Linked DNA regions of Arabidopsis thaliana. The protein of the gene in region 3 purifies or fractionates together with the protein of the main gene of each other region. This does not show direct contact. Each region holds a gene or a part of one and is shown on either strand. Other genes may lie near its edges.

Evidence for each region. The genes of interacting proteins can lie anywhere in the genome.
Region 1: the proteins of EMB2271 (region 3) and AT4G26600 fractionate together in Arabidopsis thaliana (co-fractionation; one large-scale study listed by BioGRID). This does not show direct contact.
Region 2: the proteins of EMB2271 (region 3) and AT3G23620 fractionate together in Arabidopsis thaliana (co-fractionation; one large-scale study listed by BioGRID). This does not show direct contact.

What each region holds. Positions count from the first base shown.
Region 1 is NC_003075.7:13,415,932-13,425,083, forward strand, and holds AT4G26600 (S-adenosyl-L-methionine-dependent methyltransferases superfamily protein), read left to right. Parts: upstream 1-3,629; 5' UTR 3,630-3,697; coding exon 3,698-4,237; intron 4,238-4,333; coding exon 4,334-4,397; intron 4,398-4,526; coding exon 4,527-4,666; intron 4,667-4,768; coding exon 4,769-4,852; intron 4,853-4,943; coding exon 4,944-5,018; intron 5,019-5,107; coding exon 5,108-5,179; intron 5,180-5,272; coding exon 5,273-5,346; intron 5,347-5,591; coding exon 5,592-5,644; intron 5,645-5,726; coding exon 5,727-5,836; intron 5,837-6,039; coding exon 6,040-6,108; intron 6,109-6,193; coding exon 6,194-6,268; intron 6,269-6,438; coding exon 6,439-6,704; coding exon of another isoform or gene 6,705-6,708; exon of another isoform or gene 6,709-6,782; coding exon 6,783-6,882; coding exon of another isoform or gene 6,883-6,909; exon of another isoform or gene 6,910-6,996; coding exon 6,997-7,322; coding exon of another isoform or gene 7,323-7,326; exon of another isoform or gene 7,327-7,426; coding exon 7,427-7,487; 3' UTR 7,488-7,860; downstream 7,861-9,152. Other genes in the region: OPT5 (oligopeptide transporter 5), read right to left, coding at 36-133, 216-667, 853-919. UniProt on the Arabidopsis thaliana protein: Involved in ribosomal large subunit assembly. S-adenosyl-L-methionine-dependent methyltransferase that probably methylates the C(5) position of cytosine 1586 (m5C1586) in mitochondrial 26S rRNA.
Region 2 is NC_003074.8:8,476,363-8,483,514, reverse strand, and holds AT3G23620 (Ribosomal RNA processing Brix domain protein), read right to left. Parts: upstream 3,491-7,152; 5' UTR 3,369-3,490; coding exon 3,300-3,368; intron 3,112-3,299; coding exon 2,908-3,111; intron 2,602-2,907; coding exon 2,356-2,601; intron 2,243-2,355; coding exon 2,000-2,242; intron 1,918-1,999; coding exon 1,852-1,917; intron 1,759-1,851; coding exon 1,642-1,758; 3' UTR 1,293-1,641; downstream 1-1,292. Other genes in the region: DSPTP1 (dual specificity protein phosphatase 1), read right to left, coding at 3,864-3,979, 4,116-4,261, 4,373-4,493, 4,597-4,732, 4,833-4,998, 5,234-5,235; AT3G23605 (Ubiquitin-like superfamily protein), read right to left, coding at 6,382-6,840.
Region 3 is NC_003075.7:11,270,925-11,277,655, reverse strand, and holds EMB2271 (Transducin/WD40 repeat-like superfamily protein), read right to left. Parts: upstream 3,361-6,731; 5' UTR 3,349-3,360; coding exon 2,966-3,348; intron 2,745-2,965; coding exon 2,402-2,744; intron 2,314-2,401; coding exon 2,089-2,313; intron 2,025-2,088; coding exon 1,680-2,024; intron 1,594-1,679; coding exon 1,528-1,593; intron 1,448-1,527; coding exon 1,370-1,447; 3' UTR 1,357-1,369; downstream 1-1,356. Other genes in the region: AT4G21140 (copper ion-binding protein), read left to right, coding at 1-165; AAT1 (amino acid transporter 1), read right to left, coding at 3,881-4,593, 4,686-5,348. UniProt on the Arabidopsis thaliana protein: Component of a nucleolar small nuclear ribonucleoprotein particle (snoRNP) thought to participate in the processing and modification of pre-ribosomal RNA. Essential for embryogenesis. May function during late embryogenesis.

The DNA.
Region 1 (9,152 bases), 2.1 Mb from region 3:
ACAAATGTGAATGATTTGGAGAAAAAAACACGAACCTAAAGAGAGAGACTTGAACAAGATTTGCAGGCCACCACATGTAAGGTGAGTCCACTAGGTATTTCCTGAACATACCCGCCCATCCATATCCCAACAACTACATGACAGATAAATAATGTAACTGTTACAAACAAAAACTATGTAATTTTTGAATTATATTGTATATTGTGTATACATACCTGAGTGGTTTGGACAAGCAACATGGCGGCGGCGGGATTGAGATTCCGGTGATAAAATGCTTTAACGATGGTTAGGATGCTGGTGGCATAAGCTCCTCCAGCTCCGGTATTAGCGAATATAGTGATCAGTACATGTTCCTTCATGTTGAATGGTCCAGGGTTCAACGAACACGACCAATTTGTACCAGGTAAACGGAGTTTTGTTGTTGGTAGAGTCGTGGCCATGAGCTTTCCTAGAGGGAGAGTGATGATCTGAGCCACGACTGAAGATACCGTGAGCGGGTTCGACCGGTAACCGAAGAAATTGTTCACGAACGCGAGTACCACGCAAGAAACCATTCCTAAGAACCATGTACGGAATGTCAAAACTGGTAGAGATGGATCGTCGGTTATCGGTACGGTTAAACGGACCTCTTCGATTGGACTGTCGTTTTCATCCTCTTCTTCTTCATCTGCCCCAGGGACAAAATCGGTTTACTCAGAACCAACCAAAGTTGCTTAGTATGATCTACATTAATCTAAAGGAATCGAGTTGTGTTTAAGAATTATACAAATAGAGCATCAGCCATAACGGTACACAAGGAATCAAACCACATCGAACCAAGATTGGTCAAAACAGAATCGAGATTTTATTTACCGGCTATGACGATCTTGGACTCAACCTTGTGCTCTGGAGGCTTGGATACTTCGAGAGAGCCTACCATTTTCTGTTAGGCGGCCCTGACGTCGATCGACTCGGGTGATAATGTCCAGAGTTCTGAATAACTTGCTGTAGAAGTAATGTTCTTGTAAGCAACCTGTGTTAATGACCTGACATTAAAAATAAATTTTCTCTGCAATTTTTCCAGGAAAAAGGAAAAAGTTAGACCTCTGTTTTAGTTAAGATGTTTGAGAGGATGTACTAGTATTAGAGAAGATACAAGAGAGTATTTCCTCTAATATGTATTGGAGTGAAGACTGAAAGAATCATGATTTCTCGACGAATTTCTTAATATCGACAAGTTTACTGAACTCATTAGAACTAAAGTTGTTGATTCACTTTCAGTGGAAAAAAAACTTTCACTTCGGGGTAAAAAGCTAAAATCTTGATTTCGAGTATGAATGTAGATTCTACATCTGGTATGTTTTTGAAATAGGTACTTAAACTAAAAGAATAAACAGATCATAAATATAGCAATTTTTGGCATTTAATCATTTAGAGATACTGGATCTAGCAATTTGTAGTGTATTCCGTCTATAGCTTTCAATTATTCACTTTACTTCTCTGGTTTGAAAGAGACAAAAATCAGTTTACAGAAAGTAGACTTTCTATATAGAAAAAAGAGAAAGAACTTATCAAAAATAGTTTATACATACACTCTCATTCAAAGTAAAAGATTAGGATAGAGAGTAAATTACAAAAAGAAATTGAGCATTACAATAATTAGCGGATGTTGATAATAAAAAGGAAATAATTGAACTAGCAAGAGACAATTTTGTGAGGTAAGAGTTGCAATTTAATTGGCGATCACTTGCAGCAGCTAAAAACAAAATTTTTAGCGATAGTGACAGTCTTAATGCATTATGCATGTAATTGGTTCGTACGTGTATACTTGCTGGTGCACCGCTTAATAGACTCCGAATTTGACTCGGACTCTTTGTGCGTTGGACGCGCGTCACAGGTGTGTCTTTCGGTCTTGCTTGTGGTCGCAATTGTATGTATCGTTGTTTTTGTTTTGATTGCCAATATGCATCATTGTTTCCATAATCTATCGGTTATACAATATGAAACGCATATTTCCACTTTTATTCAAGTTTCTGTTTCTAAGACACACACTGTCTTATTCAATCTGTTTCATGTCAACGTCTATGACTAGGTTCTATGTGTTATAAATAACTTGCAACTTCACCAAAAACATAATACATTTTTTTTTGACAGCCAAACTACATATATATCCTGCAAATGATAATATTTCAAATTCTAACACAATTTTACAAGAAATTTCAACCAATCAATCAAATTATTTTTGGTAGTTGGAATTAAAATTCACCAAAAATAAATTCGTGTTTTCATTCTTAAAGAAGAAACAGAATCGTTTAGAACTGATTTTAGAAAATTACGTGATTCATTTCAGTTTTTGTTATCAACATCACTAGCTTCAATCATGCATGGGCTGAGCATGTAACGCAGGTAGAGATGTCAAAATGGGTTAAAATTCATGGGTTAACTCAACTCAATTCAACCCATGAACTCTAATGAGTTGAAAATTTTGACTCAAATGAGTTAATGGGTCAAATGAGTTGATGAGTCAATTGGTTTGATGAGTAAAATGAGTTGGGTTGTAATGGTTAATGATTTCAATGGTTTACCCAATTAACCCATCAAGTTTTGTAAAATTGAATTAAACCAACTAAAATTTCTAAACCAATGCCAATTTAAGTTTAACCAACACATTTAAACCAATTTAATAAAATTAATATTTTTCCAAATTTCTTAAATATACAAGCGATGAAATTGATAAAAAGTAAACTCGTAATTTTTCACTAAAAAGATAAACCCGTGATTTTCCCGCCAAAAACGTAAATCCATAATTTTCCCGCCAAAAACGTAAACTCGTAATTTTCCAGCCAAAAACGCAAATCCGTAATTTTCCCGCCAAAAACGTAAACTCGTAATTTCCCGCCAAAAACGTAAACCCGTGATTTTCCCGCCAAAAACGTAAATCCGTTATTTTCCCGCCAAAACGTAAACTCATAATTTTCCCGCCAAAAACGTAAATCCGTAATTTTCCCGCCAAAAACGTAAACTCGTAATTTTCCCGCCAAAAACGTTAACCCGTGATTTTCCCGCCAAAAACGTAAACCCGAGATTTTCCTGTCAAAAATGTAAACCCGTAATTTTCCCACCAAAAACATAAACCCGTAATTTTCCTGCCAAAAACGTAAACCTATAATTTTCTCGCCAAAAACATAAACCTGTGATTTTTCCGCCAAAAACGTAAACCCGTAAAAAGTGGAATCCGTAAATATTTTAAGTTTGATGATAATGAATTAATAATATTAATTATTTATTATTGTTTTATAATAATAATTAATTAAATTATTATTTAAATGGGTTAACCCATTTAACAATTCAATCCATCAAATTAAATGAGTTATGGGTTGACCCAACTCATTTAACATCTAAACTTATTTGATTAAGAGTTGAGTTGGATTACCCATTTTGAAACCCCTAAACGCATACATCAAATAACTTATTGAATTATGTTTTTATAGGTTTTATGAATTCAGTGGCTCGATAATTTATTAGGCTGACAAAAAATAAGTTCGACTACAGCCCATTAGTTAGTATTAGTCAGGCCCATTAGTTAGTATCAATCAAGCCCATTAAGCAACTTTGCTCATCCTCCATCTTTACTAGATTCTTCGACCTTGCTTCTCCTACCTCTGCAATTCTGCTAAACCCTCACGGCGATAAACCCTAAGTTGTAAAAACCGTATCCATGGCTGCTCTTACGCGTAACAAGAAGAAGGGTTCCAATTCACAGACTCCGCCACTGAATAAGCAGACTAAGGCGTCTCCGCTGAAGAAGGCGGCTAAAACCCAGAAGCCTCCATTGAAGAAGCAGAGGAAATGTATTTCGGAGAAGAAGCCCCTCAAAAAGCCTGAAGTTTCCACAGACGAGGAAGAAGAAGAAGAAGAGAATGAACAGTCTGATGAAGGGTCTGAATCAGGTTCTGATTTGTTCTCTGATGGTGATGAAGAAGGAAACAATGATAGTGATGATGATGATGATGATGATGATGATGATGATGATGATGATGAGGATGCAGAACCCTTAGCTGAAGACTTTCTCGATGGTAGCGATAATGAGGAGGTAACCATGGGTTCTGATTTGGATTCTGACTCTGGTGGATCCAAACTCGAGAGGAAATCTAGAGCTATTGATAGAAAACGTAAAAAGGAGGTACAAGATGCAGACGATGAATTCAAGATGAACATTAAGGAGAAACCTGATGAGTTTCAGCTACCAACCCAAAAGGTTACATTTTCCTTTACTTAATTGTGGATTTGTTCATATTCTGGATCTCTGGAGCTATTTGTTAGCTAATCTTTTCTATTACTCTACATTGTTTAGGAACTTGAAGAAGAGGCACGTCGGCCGCCAGATCTTCCTAGCTTGCAAATGAGGATAAGAGAGAGTGAGTAACATTTTCAAATTTTATTCCTTTTTAAGAATTCTGGTGTAATGTTATTATTATGATTGTTTTAAATCTCCTAAGGAATCATCCTCTCGGTTCTTAGTTTAATGGTACTAATTTGTGTTTCAGTTGTTAGAATCCTGTCGAATTTTAAGGACTTGAAGCCAAAAGGAGACAAGCACGAGAGGAATGATTATGTTGGACAGCTTAAAGCTGATCTTAGTTCTTACTACGGCTATAATGAGTTTCTTATTGGAACTTTAATTGAGGTTATTCCCTAGTCTCTGACTTTACTCTTTATGCTTGCTTTGATCTAGAGTTATGTGTAGGAATTCTGTTACTTATACTCTTTAGTTGTAATCTTCTGGCAGATGTTTCCTGTTGTTGAACTCATGGAACTAATCGAAGCTTTTGAAAAGAAAAGACCTACATCTATACGTACTAACACTCTTAAGGTGAACTTGGTTGTGCATTGGAGTGTCTAAAACAAAGTATTTCTCAGCTGTTGTGATATTTCAATTAATGCTGATGTTTGTTTTGGTTAAGACTCGAAGACGGGATCTGGCTGATATACTTTTGAACAGAGGAGTTAATCTAGACCCATTAAGCAAGTGGTCAAAAGTAAGTAGTATTTGCAGATTGTCTTCCATTTTATTTGCGAAAACATTTTTGTGGACCATCTTTAGTTGATCCTGGCATAATATTTGTAGGTTGGACTTATCGTTTATGATTCACAAGTTCCGATTGGTGCAACTCCTGAATATTTGGCAGGATTCTATATGGTACTTGATTTTCTGATTTTTTTTGTACTTTTCGGCTCACACTTTATGGGTTTTCTTATTGTTTACTTAAGTATGTTCTTGGTACATTTTCAGTTGCAAAGTGCTAGTTCGTTCTTGCCAGTGATGGCCCTTGCTCCTCGAGAAAAAGAACGAGTTGTGGACATGGCGTAAGTCATTATCTTACATAAATGCACTATATTTGTGTCTCAGATAAATATATATATATATATATGATGACCAAGCAGTACCTTAATCTGATATTCAAGTGTAGCTTGTGATATGTATCATTTGTTATGATTGTTGTGATGATAAGTGCTGTCAAAACGGAAAAGCCAATTTGATTGTCCCGTGATGTGAGACATATGCAACTAGTATATTGTGATATCTGTAACAAGTTCTTATACCACTGCAGTGCTGCCCCTGGTGGTAAAACAACATATGTTGCTGCACTAATGAAAAATACAGGTATACATATATTGGTTCCTTATTCCTCCAGCCCCATAATTTTAGTCAGTTATATCTAATGTTATAATGTTTATATAACCAGGCATAATATATGCAAACGAGATGAAAGTACCTAGGCTTAAGTCACTTTCTGCCAATCTACATCGCATGGGAGTGACAAATACCATAGTTTGTAACTATGACGGACGAGAGGTTAGTTTCTTGAACCTTTATTCTTCTGTTGACGGTACATGCTTGAGGATGTTAAATATTGCAAACTGGTTGTAAACCATCAGCTCAACCAAATTGAAAAATTACTGGCAAGACTGTAATTGCACCAAATAACAAAGTTTTAAAGACAGCTTCTCTATTATTCCCTTGCATTTTTTATTTATCTCATCTTCTTTGCCTTTCAGCTAACCAAAGTTTTAGGTCAGAGCTCGGTTGATAGAGTATTGCTGGATGCTCCCTGCAGTGGAACTGGAGTAAGAAAGTTTGGACCATACACTCTTATAGTCTTTTAAGTGAATTTCTCTGTTCATAGTTTAATGTCACTTCTACACAATGCAGGTTATATCAAAAGACGAATCAGTTAAAACTTCCAAAAGTGCTGATGACATAAAGAAATTTGCCCATTTGCAAAAGGTATGTTGTTGCCTTAAACAATATCAACTAAAACATTCTTTACATCCAAGACAAATATTTAAACATGAAAATGGCATAAACGCCGTTTATACCCTCTTACTGTGAGTATATAAAGAAGGATGCATTTGGTATATAATGCTAACCATACTCTCTTCTTTTCTTGCGCATAGCAACTTATACTTGGTGCGATTGATTTGGTAGACGCCAATTCCAAAACCGGTGGATATATTGTTTACTCAACATGTTCAGTTATGATACCCGAGGTTGGTGAACCATACTTTTTCTGTTCCACTATTTTTTTTTCCTGGCATCTTCATGTTTTCTCACTAGTTCTATTTGTACAACAAATTATGCAGAACGAAGCTGTCATCGATTATGCTCTGAAAAACAGGGATGTTAAACTCGTTCCATGTGGACTTGATTTTGGCCGACCAGGGTAATATACATTTTCATCTGCATTGAAAAATTTCATGATTCGTCATCTGAACACAAATGTTTTGCTGCATATCTTCAGATTTAGCAGTTTTAGAGAACACCGGTTCCACCCTTCTTTAGAGAAGACTAGACGTTTCTATCCTCACGTGCACAACATGGATGGATTCTTTGTTGCAAAGGTATACACTTGGTTAACCTATGAATAGCTTTTCCCTGCAAAACAGATGTTTTATAAAATATGAATAGTGATTAAACCAACGAGGTATTTACTTTTTCCTTTCTTTGTTCTGCAGCTGAAGAAGATGAGCAATGCAATGCAGCCTTCAGGAAATGATGAGCCAGCTGTAACAATGGAGCAAGCTCAGGTGTCGTCTAGTGATGATGATGATGAGAAAGCTGAGGCCATTGAGGAGTTGGAGAAGCCACCTGTTGCCAGTGGGCAACCCAAGAGAGAGAGTAACACTAAAGAAGACACGAACAAACGAAAAAATCCAAGGTCAAAGGAAATTCACAAAGGCAAAAGGAATAAAAACACAAAAACCGAAAGTGGTAATGTGGAAGAACCCAGGAAGCAAAAGAAGAAGAGATCACAATGGAAGAATGAGATTGCTCAAGCTAGGTAAAAAAACTAAGTGTTTCCTTGACAGACAAAAGAGAAAACCTTCTTATGTACATTGTTGTATCATACACCCATTTACCCATAAATGGTTGAATATGTTGCAGGGAAGAAAAAAGAAAAACCATGAGAGAGAATGCTAAGGAGACGCCAAAGCACAGGGGATAAGAATAGGTTTGAGATCGTGATGCATCTTGAAGAGTAGAATATTTCGGTGTTCTGGCCATGGCGAAGGACACAAGAAAAGAGGCTTCATTGGCTGAGGCCAAGGTATCTATACAATGGCTTTCTAGTTTTGATTAATTTACTGCGTAAAGAAAGGGTGACACCCACATGGATTAGCTGTTACATGTCCAAAAGTTTTGTATCAATCACATAACTTGATTTTTGTGAGAGGCTGTTTCTATTTTCCGTTTTCAATTGGAGTTGTAAAATTTATTGAAAACAAAAACGAGTCCCTACTTTCTCTCACAAGTGTGTTTGAAAGGCTATTCATTTTTCTGCTCCTAGCAATTATTTAATAAAATACATAAATCTTGGAGGGTTGGGTCCATACCACCACATAAGGATAGAATTTCTCATAGTATTGATTTGACGAAAAAATAAGGGAATTGGGAGTGAGCTGGTCATTGTTAGGGAGAGATGTGAAGGTTTTCTGAAGTGGGACTTGAGTGTTGGAGAAACATGACAATCCAATTCAACTCTTCTTCATCCATCTTTATCAGATTCTCCTCCGTTGGGGACCTTACATTTACTTCTCTCACACTAATCTTCTTGTTTCTATTTTTAGATTATAAGCCCATATTATAACTGCTAGTGCTTGTAGCCTTGTATACACAAACTCACATGCATCACATATAACATCGTATAATTGCTGTATTCACTTTATATTTGGATATCCAAGATTATAGAAAAGAGATTCCTTTGCAGGACCCAAAAGATACAGCTTTTAAAAGCAAATGAGTTCATTTTAATTTCTTGCTAACCAAAATGGTAAGTAATTTTGTGGACTTATGGTATGGATAAATAACAAAATCTCAATAAACCATTGAAAATAGGAAATCAAAAAATATATTTCTGCATATAATTTGAAAAGAAAATTTGCATGGAAATAACTATGTTTTTGAACAAACTAAACATGGAAATAATTATTACCGCAAAGTACAAGGCATTACGATAAGCATCCTTGAAAGCTTTGTCTTTTTTTTTGGGAACTCGAAAGCTTTTTGTCTTCCAGTTGTAAGAAAAATACAGGAAAAAAGAATTGAAAAGCCCTAAATAAAAAAGTCGAAAACTTTAGCTTTGACCAACTCTTTCCTCTCTTTTCATGGTAGACCCAACTCTCTCATTTCTTACTCTCTGATTCATCTCTCTCTCTCTCTTCATTTCCATGGAAGGAAGGTGATGAGCTTTCTCAATCTCTCTTTACTGATTCTTAATGAAAGTCATCTCCTTTCTCTTTGGTATCCCTTTTCTTCTTCTCTGCTTAATTCCTGACCAAAAATTGTGACAAGATCTTTCAATCCAAAAGCTATATACATTAAGGTAACGATTTATGAAGTATTTCTCCTCAATTTCATTTCTTTTGTTTCTACGAGTCTGCATAGATCCAGAAGAGCTTTGCTTGATTGTTCTTACTTTCCTGAGATCTGTTTAAACTTAGCAAAAAAAAAAAGTCTACTTTGCATGAAATGTGTGATTAGGGTTTATGCTAATTTTGGTTAATTGGAGAATCAGAGAGTGTTCCCTGATGTGGAAGTAGTGAATTACTTTGGGTTGAGTAAATGTATGTCTCTCAATTGATTGTCAACGAGATTTGAGCTCGAGATCCGT
Region 2 (7,152 bases), on a different chromosome or scaffold from region 3:
ATTGTGAAAGAAAAAAGGACTTGTAGTGGAAGTAATATTCATGCTAGTACTGATATTGTCAGCCGATGTTAGTGATAATCCGGACGATGGAAGATCCATTATACAAGAAAATATTATATATTACACCTAATAAAGATGTCTTAAACTCCCGGAAAAAAAACAAAATCTGATGATAAGAAAATAGTATTACCACAAGAAGTCGTTGCTTATGTTGCTCTGAGCGTGCGGATTTGGCATCATTAACGAGTCAAAAGTTAAAATTTGTTATATAGTTGAAACATATGTGGGAATGGTGATGATGAAATGATGATGGTGATGGTAATAAACTAACCATTTGTTTAAGGCGTATGAATTTTAAAACTTTTACTGCTAAATTAATTATCTTGCAAGAGATTCTTAAGAATTGGAGTATTTGCTAAGAAATGGCAATCGTTATAATAGATGTTTTGGATTCTACTATTTGTTCCACCAAGATAGTTTTTTCAAGTTCATATACAAATTTATATGATAATATAACATATTGTCATTTACTTATAAAGCGTATATCTATGTTGCCATTTGACTTCACAATTTTTTAAAGCAGAACCTACGTGCAAATTTTTTTTTGTCAACACGTAAAAAGTATTAATTAATTTGATCAAATCGGTGTATATTTTAGTTTTTTCAATGGAGATGGTCAGATGGGTCAATTGTTTGCTAGTGACCACAGATCGTGTACAACGGGTACTGTCGGTACGTGCATGCATTGAGTCCGAAACTTGGTAATCAAAATGGACTGTCTTTCACGCGTATAGAAAAAAATAACAATGTTGTAAACATCATAATTAATGATATTTTATTTCTGTCACATGTTATTTGATTTTTTTTTTTTTTTTTTTCATTTTTCCAACATTAAATCCATTGATGATAACTATAGGATAATCTATGCATTGAAGTTCCTCGAAATCCACAAGACGAACTTCTCATTTCCTTAATTGATTCTAGTCATGCATACAAATTAACATTCGGTGATAGATGCAAGATATACTATTTTAATCATTAGTTTCCTATGGTTTGGTTTGGAACATATAGTAAATAAAAACCATAAAGAATAATGATGAAGAAGAGTCCATAGGGGTAGGTTTCAATTATAGATAAGGTATAAGCCTAGTGTTGAAAGATTAAGACAGCTAACTGTATAAAAGCTTAATAATTAGGTTTGTAAACTCAACATGTATCAGTCATTATCATTTAAAAGTTGGTAGGTAAAAAAATACACGAAATAATCATCATGGTCAGCTTCATTTTCATAAGTAAGATATCACTAAGAGATGGTAGTTAAAAGAGGTAAAAAAGTTGTTGGTAAGACAGTGATACAGGCAAAAATTGTGGTCTCATTCAACACGGGAAAAAAGTTGCTGTCTTACGCATGTACTGCAGTAGGAAACAGAGATAGACAAAAATGTGTTTTTATCATATCCAGTTTCTGTTGCTGCAGAGTTTTAACAAAACAAAATCACCTTAATAAAATATTAGCGTATAGAAAACATTCAGTTATAGATTCTAATGGAAAAATAAAAGTCAAGCTCATTACACTACAAAATCATTTCATCTTCCACATATTGAAAGCTGTTGATGCAGAGCCAAGAGTGGTCTGTTGAGTCACTCAGAAGACACCTTCATCTTTTTGGCAACAGTCTCTTCCTTATGCTTAAGCTTAGCGTCTTTCCGCTCTCTCTTCGATCCCTTAGATTTATCGAACAGTTTCATTTCTTTCAGCTGCACAAAGATCGAAAACATATCAGTTTGGGATGATAATAAAAATAATAATCTCCAGATTCGGATATTGGCGTTTATCGCTTTCTTTCTTACCTTCTGATCAGGCATATAAATCTTCCCAGTCTTCCCTAGTACTGCATCTTGATCAACGTTTTTCTCCTGTAGAAGAAGAGATTGATTGATTAGTCATCTGTCTCTTTCGATTTTAAGAGAAATATTAGACTTTTATGTTGTTTAGTACCTTCTTCTTAGGCTTATCCTTGGATGTTCTCATTGCTTCTTTCATTAAGCTATCGTTAGGAAGACGATTACGCCTGATAACCAAGTCCATGGATGGACCGACTTCAACAAGCTCCATTCTCGGAACAATGGATCCTGACTTTTTAAGCTTCAATGCGCAATGAGTAAGGAAAACCTTTGTTGGGGATATAGCTGAACATACGTAAGCGCGGTCTAAACCAGTAAGATTTAGATTATCCACAACCTGCAGACATATACAAATTCTGTTATAAGCCAAATCCATATAGAATCAGAATAAAATTGAAACTGGTTATGGAATTAGCTGCAAAAGTAGGTCATAAGAATCAAACACTTCACCTCGCCACGAAAAAGATCAGTGAGGACTTCTTTGAGATGCTTAAGCTCTGATACATTCTCAAAACCTTCACCAATAAAGCAAATGAAAGGCTTTGTTCCTTCATGAGGTGCGAATTTCTTGTCATACGAAAACGCCCGCAAGGATTTAAAGTTCTCAATCCCAACTTCTATAAGATCATAGACTTGGTGATCATACATTCTCCCAAGTACAAGATTGTCAGGTCGTTTCTTCGTGTGAGAACCATACTGCAATATAAAAACAATCACCAATGTTAGAACTCGCATCAAAGTTAATTTGCCAATACACCTTTCCAAATGACTTCTTAAGGCCTGTGATAACATCAGCCAATCATACCAATTTCCACCATAAATAAATACACATAGACTAACAAGACAGAAGCAGAGATGCCTTAGAATGAATCTAGATCACAGGATAGATCATCTTAATAACATTTTGTTCTATCTAGCAGTTCATAGCTAAGTTAAGAGGAGAATCAAAGTTGCAACACCATAAAACCAAGATGCAACAGCTGCCAAAGCTTATGAACTTACCACAAAAATGCTACAATCTGTTTTCTGAGAGAAGAACTCTAATGAAGTTTCACCTCCACTCTCGAAAGGCCTAATATTCTCATTCCTCCTTGAATATCTGATGGCACCTCCCTTCTTCAAACGGTAGAGTTCCGTCATTACAGAGCTAAGTGTAGCACTCGTCTTTGTTCCATGAAGTATCAACGTCTTCTTCCCAGTTTCAACCTACAAATTCCAAAAACAACCAATTCAGATACAAAGTTTGCAACTTTCAATCGATTCTTTGATAAATTTATCGACAAATAGAAAACCCATGAGTCTCATAGATGTCAAAACAACATTGAAGACAGCTCTCAACATGATTCACTTCTCGGTTTTAAGAAGGACGAAGGAGAAAAAGAAGAGAACTTTACCAACTTAGGAGCTCGGCTTTCGAGAACACGCTTGGCTTTGCCAGTCTTCGGAGTTCGTATTTCCATCATGACTCTGTTAAATCGCCGGAAAGTTTCACAAGCGACGGCTCCGAAAGAAGAGAGAAAGGTTTTTCGATTGATTGATATGGAGTCTAGGGTTTTAGTGCCTCCTCACAATTGGAAGCAACTTTAAGAGAATTCTAATATGACCCCTAACCTTATAAGTCTGTCCTAAATCACCCCACAGTTTTTTATTGACTATAAAACCCAATGTTTCACAAGGTCCATGAACTGTTTAAACTATACGGGCTCAAATTAAACAATGACAGCCCATGAACTTTTACACACAAAAAAGACATTTCATTGCGGTACAAAAAATTTACAAATTTTTATTTATGTTCACTTTTATATCCATGATGATGAAACTATACAAAACGAATAGAGAACATGAACATATTCCAAATTCGTTTCCATGTTATTATTCGAGTTGTTAAGGAGAAGAAACAACAAAACATTTTGATTGATGCTTCGTGTGAGATTTACAAGTTTCTCCCAATGGTACGATCAATGATCTTCACGCCTGACATTGTGCAATCGTAACTTGCTTCCCTGTTTTATAGAGAAGAAGGAAGATGCATGTAAGAGATATTTACATGGAACTGTCTTCTCCTCCACAACCACTTGCTTTTCATCCTCAAAAGGAAAAAAACTGGTCACTCACTACTGAATCAGACAGACAAAGTATCTCCAACTTAGATTCACCACAGAGATCTCAACCTAATAGTCTAGACCTCAAGATATTATAGTAAGGCATACCTTGCATAGACTTCTCGAGGTCTTGTAATTGTCTGATGAAACCAGCATTAGGACTTGCCACGGGTCTTTTGCTTTTAACATGTTGCAATGCTTGAGCTAAAGTCATACCGTGTTTCTTCATGAGGTAAGCAACAACTATAGTGACACTGCAAGTAAAAGGGACAAACCATCCAGGCTAAATATGTACTTAGTTTTGAATACTATCCAGCAAACAAGGCGAAAACCGCTAGATATTGAAGGAAGCAAACAAAACTGACCTCCGTGATTTGCCAACAAAGCAATGAACAAGAACACTACCGCCTTGTCTCTTGGCTTCATCAATGAAATCAACACACTCATCGAAGTACATTTCTAGATTTGTATCTTCCTTATCCACGACTATCACATAGAAAAACAATCAAACAAGCAATTCCATCCCAAAATCAAAAACATATTCTCTCTTCAACTAGATAACAAAGTGAAACCTTTAATAAGTTTATACCTCGAACAACCTTGTAAACAAAGTCATCAGGATGAGCTGGTCTCAACGAACTAGCAACAGTCAAAATATGTGTAACATTGTAAGATTTCAAAACATTCTTATTACTAGCTGCTGCAACAGATCCAAGATAAAGACCCTGAAAAAGTCAAATTCAACAAAAGGTTTGATCTTTGATAATGAATCATTGGTCATTTGGTTGGTAGAAAAAACCTATGAGTATTAGTAGTAGTAGTAACCTGTTCAATAAGGGAAGGGACATTGTCGTCTCTATAGGTACGAGCAACTTTAATAACACGAACAAGAGCTTGTATCTGATTCTTCACCTTTTCATTATACTTTTCTATTCCTGGTAACGAAGAAGATGACGAAGAAGAAGAAGGTGATCCTCTGTCTCTAGAACTCCTGATTTCATCGAATCAGAAAAAAGAAGAAGAGAGTTTACATATCAAGATCGTGATCATAGCAGCAAGAATCAAAATCAAAATCAAAATCCAGGTCACCGAAATAATGGAATCCGATTCTGATGAATGATCTTATAACCGAACAACGGTGAATCGAGAATTACGATTACAACGACGGAGTAGTGATTGGTTTAAGATCAAAAGAAGAATTCGATTATCAAGGAAGAAGAACTTACATTGGAAAAGAAGGAATACGAATTCGCCAAAGGAGAAAGAGATTTACAAAAAAAAAAAAACGAATCTTTGAAATGGGTTAAAGAGGAAATTGCAACTGCATGGTTCTCCAGGTTTTTTGGGGGAAGGAGGAGGAGGAGAGGGAAGGATGTGTTCAAAGAGGGCCAAATAGTAAAATTTCCTTTCTATCAGAAAAATCAGAAATGTTTTAACTTATTAGCTCAGTCCTTATATTATACTCAAAAATTTGTGTTTGGGATTTGTGCTTTGTAGGCTTGGTTTCCTGCTATTAGGCCCCCTGGATTAGTAAGAAGTAGTGTACTTGGCTGAAACTGAGGCAACGGTGTTGTGAATATGTCAGCAAAACTGTACAGAGGCAGAGATGTATCGAGTGATGATGATGTTGTTGTTAAAGACTGTTTGTTATTATGACGTAGTAGTAATCTACTTTAATGTTTTTTTCGAGGGCAGTAGAGCACAAATCTACTTCAATATAGTCCATCGAAGTTCGATATTTTACTTCGATAGACTATCTAATCAAAGCCGGTCTCGACGAGTTTCTCGGTTTCCATTTTGGTACGGTCTTTCCCATTCCTAGAAATTGTGCATGAACATGAAGTACTTCCTTGCTCACTTGATGCTGTCTTAGGCTTGTTTAGAAATAGGACCCTAATTGCTTTAAGAAATCTGACTAAAAAGTAATGGACAATGTACAAATGTACCCTCAGCACACCCTCTAAGCCCGGTCCTGGCACATATCGACGAGTTTGTCGGTTTCATTTTGGTATGGTTTGGTTTACCCACTCCTTGCTCACTTGTCTTAGGCTTGTTTAGAATTTGGGCTTATGGGCTTGGTTTGCTACGTCACCGTATACGTAACTTCGTCACCTCAAAAACTATGCGAGAAAGAGTGACTTAAGAAGCAACAAAAAGATAAACCAAAAACTATACGTTCTTCTTGTATGATGATGACGACATTGACTTTGAAACAGTGTTATCTAAAAACGATTTGATCGGAAATATCTAACAACGATTCAAGAAAACCAAATGAAATTTGCAATTTCCAAGTACAAATTCGAGAAATTGAGTAAACATAAACTTGGTAGAAGAAAGAAATTATTTTTCTAATTACAGATCGAAAGAAGATTCTTCAGAGCCAAGTAACAGAAACCAAGGAATTAGCAAGCCCAGATTGTTCAAAAGTAGTATTAGATCCAAAATAAAGATTCTTATAATCCCCAGGAAACCCTTGAATCAATTTAAAACGCCGCTTTCTCTCAGAAGATTCATCACCAATCTGCGAATAACAAAACGACCAAAGAAGCTGAACAGATTCACTCTTTAAGAAACTTCTCTGTATTCTTCTCCCATCTGGTAATCGAACGCAGATTCTGCACAAAACGCTTTGATCCATATCGCGATTCGGTTCTTCTGGTAAGTTAGGGAATCCGAATACCGCGTTTGATGAATTCGTCGTATTCTCGGTTTCTTCTGATTCTTCTTCAGAGAAGCGTTTCGGGCGTTTGATTCTTCGCAGAGACTCGATTTCCAGAGAGGCGACGTCTACGAACGGTGATAATTTCTCCATCATTGATTGACACTCGAGCATCGTTTTGATCGATGATTACGGAGAGATTTAGGTAAATTTCAAAACCCTAATTGTTTCATAGTTAGAGTGGATTTTTGTGGAATTTGTGAGCTTCTCGTTTATTTATAGAGACGAGACGATAGAGAGGAGCTATAAAGGTTTGTTTCCTTTTCCTTGAAAATAGAAAAATAGATTTATTAGTATTATTGTTTTTGTGTTAGTAGAATTGATTTTTGGAGATATTCTGCGGATTTTTTTTTGTTTCTATTTTCCTTTTTTTTTTTTGTGTAATTACAGATTTTGTTTTTGATAATTGTAAGTTTGTAATACAAA
Region 3 (6,731 bases):
GAGGCATTGCCGGAGAATTTGAAGAAGGCGGCTTTAGTGCGTGATTTGACTCCGTTTCCGGTGAGTCGAGGTACGGCTACGCTTACTCCACCTATTGAAGGGTATTTGGAGAGGATTATGAATGCTGCGGCTAGGAAGAGCTCTGGTAAAGAGAAGTTGAGATGATCTTGTTAAGGTTAGAGGAATTTGTCTTTGCGTCATTGGTTTTCTCTTGTTTTATTAGTTGTGTTGATTGGATTTCGATCAATGGATATAACTTTGAGACATTTGTCTTTATTTTTGTGATCTACTTGAAATAAAATGGTCACTGGCAGTTGCTACTATATGATAGAATATTAGTTGAAGCTTGAAAGTTTAATCTTTTTCTACTTTATATTGTTTCATATCGGCCTTCTGAGAGGTGAAGTTGTCTAGGATGTAAATGGAATCTTGTTAAACCTCTTTTGTATCTCTTTCCTTGATCGTGTTTGCCTGTTTGCATACTTCTTTCAAATCTTCATTTTTCAGTATTATGTGTATGAACACTGTACACTCATACATTTAGGATTTGTCTCTTCATATATTCTAACCTTTAGGAAGGCCACTGGGTCATGATCAGCTCAAACTTGGTATAACTTTTTATCCTTACCAAAACCATATTCCTAGATAAGAACTGCAGACTATCTTGGAATCTACAGTTCTGCACCAAGATTACAACTGTTTAATCAATATGGGAGTTGAGGTTTGTCCTCTGTGAGCTTTGTGTTGGAAGTTCAGCAGAATGTTATGTAGGAAAGGATGTCCTGCATCTGCTTGTGCTTCTTCATTCAAATGCATAGTTTCTGGGTATTTTCTTCAAGCTCTCCATATCATTTTCTGCATCTTGTTACCCGGTCCAGTAGAGTGCAATGGCAAGAGTCCTAAAGCTACAAAGACCACGATTCTCCAAGGATCATCATAGTTTGAAAGCTGAGGTAGCTAGTCTAGAGAGAATCGTAGTCATTAGACTTCATCTAGGGACCTCTTGGCTTCTATGTTTCCTTAGTTCACTAGCTATTTTTGTAGACCTATTGAGTCCAAATCTCTGGTAAAATAATCAAGTTTGTGTATCTGAGTTCTTAAACCACAAATTTTTATCAATTCTAGTATTCTTTAGGATCTTTTGAATACCACTAAAACAAAGTTCCTCTATGCGTAAAGATCAGATTGTATATGTTGTTTGATCAATAAAACAAGACTTTTAAGCATAAAGCAGGAATGGGACTTTCCGATTTTGTTTAATTAGAGCCTCTATATGTTCTCTTTCTTCCCTTCCATGTCAAAAATATAGCTGTAGTACCTCTACATAACTGAAGTTCTAAAATAAGTTGCAATCTAAATTGAGATCCCTTCATGAAAGCCTTAAGGGATGTATTGCAACACCGTTCTGCGCAGATTTTAAGCAACCCCATCTTCCGAGCCGCGGTTCCTGCCATATACCCAAAGTTACAGTTAAGATTGGCATTCACAGAGACGAATATATATGTCTGGTTAAAGGAAAATGTGTACCTGTCCAACACCAGCGATCAGAAACCGACCAGATTTTGCAAAAGCTAAAGAGTTCACAAACCCAGGCTGCAAAAAGGTCATAAGCATTGGATGTCAGTAACAGATGCAACACACAAATAGCAATAAGAGCCGACCTAGGAAAACAAACTTACAAGTGGAAGCTCGTATAAAGGTTGTATAGCACTAGATCCACTTTCAACACCCCATAAACGCACACAACCATTACCAGCTCCCGATGCAGCAAGCTCGCTACCTCTACAGACAGCAACTGAACTGACCCAAGAACATGCTGGTGTACAGTTATGGTTAACAGAATCATGATCAGCTATCACGTGGTGAGCATTGTTAACGATAAACACTGGTTTCTTTTTCAAAATGGACCAAAGTGCAATACTTCCATTATCTGATCCGGACAAAAACTCATCACTATTAACAAAACAGCAGCACTCAAAATTTGATTCGGAAGCTCGATAGATCAACCGAGTAGACTCGGGAACCTGATAGGAAACAAAAATCGTGCTTAGATATAGACAAACAAATCAAACAGACCACAATACCTACCTTATATAACTGCATTGTTCTATCGCGTCCAACACTGAGAACACGCTCCCTCCCTAGAGCATCAATGGATAGAAGTTCAGACTGGTGTCCAAAACATGATTCTATATATGTTCTATGTTCTGCATTCCATATACTTAATGTTCCATCATATGAACCAGAAAAGAGTTCTGCAGTTCCTTCTCTAAAGCATAGACTAGAAACAATGCCACAGTGACCTGTAAAAGCCTGCAATAGATACATATCTAATAAAAGAGGCTGAGAGCAAGACACAATGAACAGAATCCTTAACTTGATTATTTTTAAGCTTGTTTACCTGGACATGCTCTCGTGTTCGGATATCCCACAAATGAACATGGCAATCAACTCCTCCAGTCGCTAAATACCGGCCATCAGAGCTAACAGCTAATGCTAGAGATTGTTTGTTATGTCTTGTATACCAAGATTCCTGGAACTTTAACCCGTGAGACTTCAAAACTTCATCGCTTGGCCATTTGTACTCATCACTTTTACCAGAAGATACATCCCAATGCAGAATAGTACCGTCTTTCGAAACTGAGAACCCTCTTGAATCATCATCTGATAGAGCTACTCCTGTAACAGAATGTTGGTGTTTGACTATAACACGAAACTTATCGCTACTCTGTAGATCTTGAACCCTGACACGGTAAAGTTTAATCAGAGTATCAGTACAAACAATCTCCAAGCCATTATATAAAAACTAATGTAAACTAATTCCTAAAATTCCATAAAACCTAAATCACAAGCATTTTTGAAGTCTATGAATACGTAGTTAAACAAGTCCTGAGGAGTGGTTTCAAATATAAAAACCTAGCTCATGGACTCAAATATGAAAAATAACAACTTTCTTCTTCATTACCTCAATGCATTGGCTCTCCGAACACGACCACTCTTCTCGAGCTGTTCCTGCATTAGAGTCTTTGCCACAAGCGAATCTCTAAAATCATCATCTTCCTCGTTATCTTCTTCATGCTCTCTCTGTTTCGCCTCTTCGATTCTATTCAAAGTATCCTCCGCCAGTCTCTTTCGTTTCTCGCCTACCGTCTCATGAGCAAACTCATCCTCCACCTCCTCACCAACCTTCCCTTCCTCTTCAGATTCTACAGATTCGATATCATCATCATCATCGTAATTGAATTTTCTCCGCTTCTCTGTCTCTTCCTCTAAGAAAGGATCATGATCGATGGAACTCTTTTTCCCTCTTCTCTTCGCCCCAATACCTTTCTTCTTCTCGAGTTTCATTCTTCTCTCCCTCTCTATCACACACAAGCGAGCGAGAGAGAACGCAGGGTTTACTGGCGATGGAGAAAAAAATACAGAGTTTGTTTTCTTCTTTGTTCTGTCTTAAATAAGAAATCCACAAATTGCCCTAACTTTCCCCGCAAACAATACTAGGTTAATAGGTTTACTTCATGATGGGCCTAACCCACAAATTAATCAACTTACTCATAAACAAATTAAATGGAAAAAAGTATCTTGTGAATTCATAAATTAAAACGTTGGTAACTCGAATAAGTTGATTTTTGGTTTCAAATACGACATACTTTTGTCACACATCTATTTTACTTGAGAAGGATTAAACCAGACCTTAATTATCATGTTTGATGCAAATGTGAAGAAAATCTATTAACATATTGAAAATCTAAACAAACCAAAGACATTACAATTCTTGAGATCAGAACACTAATTAACCAAACGAAGAATCTGACAACTATTAATAAACCCGAATCCAAAGCCAAACACTTTAACAATATATTAAAACCAACTAGTGAGCTTAAGTTGCAGAACAAGAATTATCAGCAACAACACCACCTTCCTCAGCTTTCTGCAATGCCTGCTTCTCCTTCAACGTCGCCTTAGCTGTATCATACGTTGCGTGCAACCCAAACAAGACGTAATATATGAGCAGAATACCTGTCCAGATTGCAAACCTAACGAACGATTTTGTATCGATGGAACCAAGAAGGAAGATATTAATAGCGATGGAAGCAGAAGGCAACCACGGAACCAAAGGAACACCCCAAATTTTCGGAGCCCTAGCTTGCGGTACAAGAAACTTCATGGCAACCGTAGACAGAAACCATATAGGAACCGTAATGCAATACCCAATCCAACCTTCTTCTTCCAAAGCCCAATAAACAGCAGTCGCGGTAGAGGACGCAAGAATCAAACCTAAGAACACTAAAAACTTGTTACGGTCACGGGTCGATGTTTCTCCGGTGACGTAATATCTTCTAACGAGAAGAGCCACAGCAACGAACATGAAGATGAAAAGTGTGGAAACAGACAAGAGATCGGCTAAAATTTTCAGTTTTGTGAAGAATGCTATGAGAGCTGTCGCGGCAAGCATTACCACGGTCGCGTTAATTGGTGTTCCGGTCTTTGCGTTGACTTGAGCTAGCCATGGAGGCATCATATGGGCTCGGGCTATGTGTGTCATGTACCTAGCTTGACCAATGGCCCCAACTAACAAAACCGTCGTCATACCTAAACATTTCAAAGATTAGTATAGATTTTAGACTATACTAAATGTAAACGCAAACGCAAATAAATAATGAAGGCCAAAATCTTTGGCATACCTTTAAGAGCCCCAAAGGCGACAATGTACTTAGCCCAATCCCATCCAACGGCAGAAAACGCAACCGAGAATGGCGCGTCCGGATCAATCTGTTGATACGGCTGCATAAGACACAACGTAACCGCCATGAGACAATAACAAACCGTAGTAACCACCATCGATCCAACAAGACCAATAGGAATATCTCTCCCTGGATTCTTTGTCTCCTCAGCCATCGTTGAAACCGCATCAAATCCAATATAGGCAAAGAAAAGAACCGCGGCGGATTTAAACACTCCTCTAACGCCGTAAGGAGTGAAATCGCTGTAGTTTTTCACATCGGCTTTAGTAAATCCGGCGATGATAACAAAGAGAATCACGACCATGTGGATTATAGAAGCAATGTAATTGAATCTTGAGGAGCCTTTTGTGCCAACGACAGCTAAAACACAAATGATGGCGCAAACGCCGACGGCTATTGGATCTAAGTGGCTATAGTCTTCGCCGAGTTTGTGAACTATGATGCGGAAGTCTTCAGGTTTATGGTTTAAGAGAGTGGCGAAGTAAGAGGTCCACGATCGAGCCACGGCAGCTCCACCGACAACGTATTCGAGGATTATGTTTCCCGCGGCGATGAAGGCCATGAAGTCGCCGAGCTCCACTCTTAAGTAGGCAAAAGAACCGCCTAAACATTGACTCAATGGTTATGTAAATTAAATAGTAAATATGAAAGAAATTACATAATGTTTTTACAAATAATTGTGGGCGAAGTAATGTATGCGTTTGAGTTTCTATTTACGATAATATTCAATTTGAGTTCGAAACAACTTGGAAGTAAAAAATAATTTTGAAAATGACTCCACTTTCTACTTTCTAGGACCCAAACATAATCTCTAGTGGGATTTCACTACAAGTTATTTCGAAAATGAAAAATATATTTTTGAGTAGTAATACTATATTAAATTAATTTACTTTTGAACTGTCAATAAAGGCAATTTACAAGCTTGACTTATATAGTTGGGACTTACGTATATAAGGTCATTGACGTAAGTAATCATCTGTTTAGCTTAATTTCTTTGTCTGTATGTAAAAGTCTTCTAGGTAGACCCCATGACTAAAATTGTGAAATTACAAAGTTTTAAATACAATTTTAAAAGTAGCTAACAATCTAATAAATGGCAACAAATATTTTGCAACTCTAAGATAATAATCAAATCATTCGATTGTTTAATTTGTGATTTGATAGTATTGTAGCTACTATCAAATTTAAAAGGAAAAAAACGGAGGATAAATAGTAGATTGATACTAGATAGTGTGAACGACCCTCATAAGTCAGATGTCAACTAGTTGACCCCAGAGATTCCGTCACGCTACGAGAGTTGAAAATTCAATATTTGTTCTATAGTAATTTTTGTAATAAAGAAGCTGATCTTATTCATTTACACATTTTAAACCTAAATAGTTTTTTTTTTTTTGGTTTTAACCTAAATAATTTACAAGTAAGACAATAACTACATTTTTAATTAATGTTGAGTTTAGAAGTATTACTAAAAGCATATCGTATGGTTGACTCTTTGTACATCAACAGAATATTTTATTGGTCGTTGTATTGAGGTGAATTATGCAACTGATATATAAAAAAAGGACTCATAACCACTAGTGACTCCCAAAACATGGGACAAAAACTTAATCGACACCGAACCAAAAAAAGAAGGATTAAGTTGCCGGAAAAATGCACCAGCATAAATGATTGAATCAAGTAGAATATTTTCTTATTGACGAAGTTGTCAGAAATGATACGTCTGCATATTTATTAGATCTTGATAAATGTACGCTACATTTTTCTATTCCCTAATTATGATGACACTATAGTTAGAATATCGCTAGAAAAGATATCCTCAAATATGCGTTTCGTTTAAACATGTAAATCGTAATTAAAACTAAATTTAACCAGCTAAGAGACTCTTAGCCTGCTTAAACGTATTTTCCCTATCTTCCTACTTATGACACTAATCCTAAAAAATATAGTCTGAACATTTTCTTGAAATTCGCATATTTATGACCGACG